2 linked regions of the Macaca fascicularis genome follow. The protein of the gene in region 2 binds, or shares a complex with, the protein of the main gene of each other region. Links are inferred from orthologs where the notes say so. Each region holds a gene or a part of one and is shown on either strand. Other genes may lie near its edges.

Region 1 (2,446 bases), on a different chromosome or scaffold from region 2:
AGTTCTAATCTCCAGTCCATTACTGACTTACTTATAGGGAACAGTCACTTACACGTTTTGTGGGTCAGTTTTCCTTGACACATAAAGGTATTTCAAAGGTTACTAGTAAACAACCCCAGCACACTTTCCAAACAGTCAAAGCTGTATGACTTTCCCCCCTTAGAGGATGGAGCATGGCCCAACTCCACATTCTTCACTACCTATCACCTTGCCATTGTGGCAGGTACACATAAATAAGTTTGTTGTTGATGAACCTGAGTTCTGGGTCATTCTTAGCTTTAGAAGTTTTCTGCAATAAAGAAAAATTAGGAAAGCCAGTTGCCAAGTTCTAATATTATACGCTTAGTACATAAGGCGCTTTGATTTAACTTTAGCTTCTTTTTCCTAGAGCCCCCACTGGTCAGAGTGAATCGCAAAGAAACTTTCCCAGGGGTTACAACTCTCTTCTGCAAAGCTTATAGCTTTTACCCCCCAGAAATTTACATGACATGGATGAAAAACGGCGAAGAAATTGTCCAAGAAATGGATTATGGAGACATTCTTCCCAGTGGGGATGGAACCTATCAGACGTGGGCATCAGTTGAGCTTGATCCTAAGAGCAGCAACCTTTACTCCTGCCATGTGGAGCACTGCGGTGTCCATATGGTTCTTCAGGTCCCCCAGGGTAAGGATGGGGATCGTGGCTGTCTGGGGAGAGCCTAGAGAAAGGGGAGAGCAGGAAGCCATGCTCCCTGCCAGGGAGGGGAGGGGAGGATAGATCACTGCCTCACCCAGTGTGCCTTAGAATGGGTCTTTTAAATAAGTGGTTCTCACACTTTTTAGAACCAGGACGCCTTCACACTATTAAAAAAATTATTGAGGACCCCAAAGAACTTTTGTTGATGTGGGTTTTATAGCTATTGCTATTTACCACATTACAAATTAAAGATTTAAAAATTAAACACGAACGGGAGCAGTGGCTCACACCTGTGATCCCAGCACTATGGGAGGCTGAGGCAGGTGGATCACTTTAGGTCAGGAGTTTGAGACCAGCCTGGCCAACATGGTGAAACCCCATCTTTACTAAAAATACAAAAATTAACCAGGCGTGGTGGTGCACACCTGTAATCCCAGCTACTCCGGAGGCTGAGGCAGGAGAATTGCTTGAACCTGGGAGGTGGAGATTGCAGTGAGCCGAGATCGCACCACTGTACTCCAGCCTGTGTGAAGGGAGCGAGACTCCATCTCAAAAAAAAAAAAAAAAAATCAAACACAATCCAGGCACAGTGGCTCACTCCTGGGCATGATGGCATGCACCTGTAGTCCCAGCTACTCAGGAGGCTAAGGTGGGAGGATCGCTTGAGCCCAGGAGGTCAAGGCTGCAGTGAGCTGTAATGGCACCACTGCACTTCCACCTGAACGACAGAGTGAGACCCTGTCTCAAAAAAAAAAAAAAATTAACACAAGAAAACACAAGCACATATTCCATTAGCAGTCAGATTGATGAGTGAGAAGCAACAGTAAGGAAAATGGTGTTGGGTTTCCTGATGATCACAGGGACAAAAGTCCCAGAAAGTTAACACAGAAGGGACTTGTGAATTTTTTCTTATTTGCTTGCTTTCAGAATCAGAAACCATCCCTCTCGTAATGAAAGCTGTCTCTGGGTCCATTATCCTTGTCATTGTGCTGGCTGGAGTTGGTGTTCTAGTCTGGAGAAGAAGGCCCCGAGGTGAGAGGCACATGGAAGGGACGCAGGGGACTGCAGACTCTCCTGCGCCTCTCCAGAGTTTTATTTTCTGCACCTGCTGCTCCATGCTCCATTCAGAAATGGCTTGGCTGTCAGGCTGGGATCACAGAAGGATCCGGGACAACCCTCCCGCCACATAGGGGACACAAAGCATGGATAAAGCTTGCAGGGAGAGTGGTCTCTTTTCATAGGTGATGCCTGACATCAACAAAATAGTACAACATCTGTCCAGGGGAACTGCCCCCTAGAAGTTGGGTCAGAGAAGATATGGGGATCCTGATTTGTCTTTTTCCAAACCATCTTTTTATTATTAATTACTATTGACTTCTGAGGCAGTGCCCTTTGTTTCAAGACTTCAGTCAGTTTTCCCATTTTGACCACCATTCTTTCATCCCAAGCATATGAAAGTCCTTTTCCTTGTAAATTCATTTTTCAAAACATTAAATGTGTAAGAGTAGATACCTTCAGATAATGGGACTTAGAGTAAGGAAAAGAGGAGGAGAAGTAGGAGGTATATAGGCTCTTGATAATGTGGAATAACATAAATTCATTCAATAAGTATACATTATTGACCTACTGTGCTCCAGGCACTGTACTGGTTGCTGGGATATAACAATGAACAAGACAGACAGGATCCGTGTTGTCATAGAGCTTACAACAGAGCCTGGTAAGGTTATCTCCTGCCTCTGGCTTCACTAATTGCTCAGATTGATCACAGGA
Region 2 (3,656 bases):
GCCCAGGCTGGAGTGCAGTGGCATCTCAGCTCACTGCAACCTCTGCCTCCTGGGTTCAAGCAATTCGTCTGCCTCAGCCTCCTGAGTAGCTGGGACTACAGGCGTGCACCACCACGCCTGGCTATTTTTTGTATTTTTAGTAGAGATGGAGTTTCACCATATTGACCAGGCTGGTGTCAAACTCCTGACCTCGTGATCTGCCTGCCTTGGCCTCCCAAAGTGCTGGGATTATAGGCGTGAGCCACCGCGCCCAGCCTCTACGCCAGAGATTTTAAAGGATAGCAGTGATAATGGTCAGAACCGCTTCCACTGCCCTGCCTTGGTTTGCTGCTGCTGCCATTCAGGATGTGGTCCAAAAGGACTGGGGTGATGGAGACAGCCGGCCACAGCAGGGCAGCAGGATCCTGGACTGGAAATCTCTTGGTGGAATTATCCTGGAGTCCAGCGGGACTCCTTATCTGATGCCATCTGTGCTTCCGCGGTGAAGATGGCATGTAAGTGGTGGGACTGAAGCCTGCTTCTCAGGAAAGCACTCTTGCATTTGGGTCCCAGTCTGAAAACGCTCCCAGTGGACATGTTATATCCCCTTCCCTGGGATAACCATGTCCTGGCCTCACCTTGGATGTTGAGCTGGATGATCTGCTGAGTTCGGTACAGAGAGGTGGTGATCTGACAAACGTAGGTCCCCTCGTCCTGTATAGTGAGGCTGGGCAGGGTGAGGGAGGCATCCCTGGCCATGCCCAGCTGCTCAGGCTCCAGTGTAGCGCCCTTCCGCACAGCCTGCCCCTGCCCTGTGGTCCAGCTGTACACCAGCTGACCCCTGCCCTTGTGCTGCAGCCGCCACTCCACACTGATGAGGTCCAAGCCTGGTGCCATGGAGAAGCCACAGTCCAAGGAGGCTGAGGACCCCAGCAGGAAGGTCAGGGATTGGGTCTGTGTCGTCACCTGGAACTCCACTGTGAAGAGGAAAACAGGGGTGATTTGTGGGCTACTTCCTCCTTGAGGTCACCTGATCTCCAAGCTGTGGGCATGTTGTGTGGCATACACCTGCCTCTTCTTCCGTGCCTGACAGGCCAGATGAGCTTATTTTCCATCACACGGAACCACAAAGAAATGGGGCTCTGGAAAGGCAGCATGGTGCGCATGATGGCCATCACCATTTTGGGATCACTTACCCTAGGATAATTTAGTGAAAGCTATAGATCTCTCACCAGGAAAAATACACATACAAAATTAAGAGTTACCATCAATCTTCAGGTAAGTACTACTAGAGTAGCAGAAAAAGCTCTGAAACCCTGGTGTTCCACTTACTGGCTCTGTGACCTTTGACAAGTCACTTGGTGTTACCAAGCTCACCTACTTAAGCAAGGATGCTGTGAAGACTAGGAACAAGAGTTTAAAAAGCACGCGGTGGCTGGGCGCGGTGGCTCACGCCTGTAATCCCAGCACTTTGGGAGGCCAAGGTGGGTGGATCACCTGAGGTCAGGAGTTTGAGACCAGCCTGGCCAACATGGTAAAACCCTGTCTCTACTAAAAATACAAAAATTAGCCGGGCATCATGGCAGGTGCCTGTAATTTCAGCTACTCAAGAGGCTGAGGCAGGAGAATTGCTTGAATCTGGGAGGTGGAGGTTGCAGTGAGCCGAGATTGCACCATTGCATTCCAGCCTGGGTGACAAGAGTGAAACTCCATCTCAAAAAAATGTAAAAAAAAAAAAAAGTATGAGTTATTAGGAAGCTGAGGTGGGTGGATCACCTAAGGCCAGGAGTTCCAGAACAACCTTACCAACATAGAGAAACACCGTATCTACTAATAATACAAAAATTAGCTGGGTGTGGTGGCACATGCATGTAATCCCAGCTACTTGGGCGGCTCAGGCAGGAGAATCACTTGAACCCAGGAGGTGGAGGTTGCGGTGAGCCAAGATCGAGCCATTGCACTCCTGCCTGGGCAATAAGCGAAACTCCATCTCGATTAAAAAAAAAAAAAAAACATGTGGTAGTAGTATCTGTGCCAAACATGCTTAACCTAAATCCAGTCATGAGGAAAACAATCAGACAAATCTAAATGGTGGGATACTCTACAAGACCACTAGCCTGGACCCTTCAAAAATGTCAATTCTGTGAAAGATGTTCTAGATTAAAATAGGGAACAGCACAACTAAATGCACTGCATGATTCTTGTTTGAATTGTGTACTTAGAAAAAGAAAGCAGTAAAAAAACATATTGGGACAAGTGGAGAAATTTGAATTTGGAGACATTTAATTATTATTATTATTAATTTTTTTTTTTTTTTTTTTTTTTTTTTTTTGAGACGGAGTCTCGCTCTGTCACCCGGGCTGGAGTGCAGTGGCCGGATCTCAGCTCACTGCAAGCTCCGCCTCCTGGGTTTACGCCATTCTCCTGCCTCAGCCTCCCGAGTAGCTGGGACTACAGGTGCCCGCCACCTCGCCCAGCTAGTTTTTTGTATTTTTTTAGTAGAGACGGGGTTTCCCCATGTTAGCCAGGATGGTCTCGATCTCCTGACCTCGTGATCCGCCCGCCTCGGCCTCCCAAAGTGCTGGGATTACAGGCTTGAGCCACCGCGCCCGGCCTTTAATTATTTTTTTAAGAGAAGGGTCTCAGGCTGGGCACAGTGGCTCACGCCTGTAATCCCAACACTTTGGAAGGCCGAGGTGGGTGGATCACCTGAGATTAGGAGTTCAAGACCAGCCTGGCCAATATGGTGAAACCCATCTCTACTAAAAATACAAAAATTAGCTGGTGTAGTGGTGTGCGTCTGTAATCCTAGCTACTTGGGAGACTGAGGCACAAGAATCACTTGAACCTGGGAGGCAGAGGTTGCAGTGAGCCGAGATCGCGCCACTGCACTCCAGCCTGGGAGACAGAATGAGACTCTGTTAAAAAAAAAAAAAAAAGAGAGAGAGAGAGAGAGAGACAGGATCTCGCTATGTTGCCCAGGCAGGACTCAAACTCCTGGGCTCAAGCAATTGTCCTGCCTCAGCCTCCTGAGTAGCTGGACTACAGGTGTGCATCACCATGCCCTGAACTTTATAGTTGAGACTATCATTGTATCAATTAAAAAGTATCTAAAAGGATGAAGATCCGTGGCATACTAGGCAGTGGTGTCGGGGGATAGGGACAGTCTGCCCTGGCAGGGAGGAGTATTTTATCACTGATAATATTCAGAATTGTCAATGTCAGGAGATGGTGAGACTATAAAGCCATCTGACTTTTAGCCAATTTTATTATTGTTCTGAAATATTTTACACTCTGCACTCCCTTATTGCCTGCACCATGGGTAGACTACTCCCCCACTTTGGTTTGTTTCTGACATGATGGTTTTGTAACTATGAAGGATTACGTCCTTGTCCTTCGCTGTAAACTAATACATGCTATGGATGGGAGCATTTGGGGTTCAAGTGTTGCCTTCTGCAACTTACTCTCAGTTCAGAGGAAAATACACACATACACATATACACACACGGGGAGTCAGGGGGAGAGAGAATGTGGCAAATTGGTGACAATTGGTGGATCTAGGTGTAGGATATGTAGGTGTTCATTATATTATAATTTCACCTTTTTTTGTAGGTTTGGAATAAAAAGAGAAATATCTACCCATGCCAGGAGTGTGGTAGACACTGGACAGCTGCGAG

The links. Proteins that work in one complex are often made in the same cells at the same time.
Region 1: the proteins of TAPBPL (region 2) and major histocompatibility complex class I-related gene protein are in contact, whole or in part, in an NMR structure (PDB 7RNO), measured with the Homo sapiens proteins. The link is inferred for Macaca fascicularis from reciprocal best matches to the Homo sapiens genes TAPBPL and MR1. Residues at the interface, in NP_060479.3 of Homo sapiens: His47, Arg48, Gly49, Ala50, Ala52, Ser53, Ser54, Leu129, Met131, Thr132, Glu133, Thr135, Arg228, Gln230, Lys232, Gly233, Arg234, Gly235, Thr280, Ile282, Gln293, Ile295, Gln297, Arg307, Leu308, Ser309, Ile320, Cys321, Asp322, Leu355; in NP_001372090.1 of Homo sapiens: Arg101, Arg104, His105, Asn107, Thr129, Gly130, Phe131, Leu132, Gln133, Ile143, Phe144, Asn145, Asp147, Thr148, Leu152, Ala153, Val154, His159, Thr160, Lys162, Gln163, Ala164, Ala167, Asn168, Gln169, His170, Thr213, Phe214, Pro215, Asp248.

The regions. Positions count from the first base shown.
Region 1 is NC_088375.1:38,540,569-38,543,014, forward strand, and holds part of major histocompatibility complex class I-related gene protein, read left to right. Parts: intron 1-388; coding exon 389-664; intron 665-1,603; coding exon 1,604-1,708; intron 1,709-2,446. UniProt on the Homo sapiens protein: Antigen-presenting molecule specialized in displaying microbial pyrimidine-based metabolites to alpha-beta T cell receptors (TCR) on innate-type mucosal-associated invariant T (MAIT) cells.
Region 2 is NC_088385.1:7,380,216-7,383,871, reverse strand, and holds part of TAPBPL (tapasin-related protein), read right to left. Parts: intron 957-3,656; coding exon 618-956; intron 1-617. UniProt on the Homo sapiens protein: Component of the antigen processing and presentation pathway, which binds to MHC class I coupled with beta2-microglobulin/B2M. Association between TAPBPR and MHC class I occurs in the absence of a functional peptide-loading complex (PLC).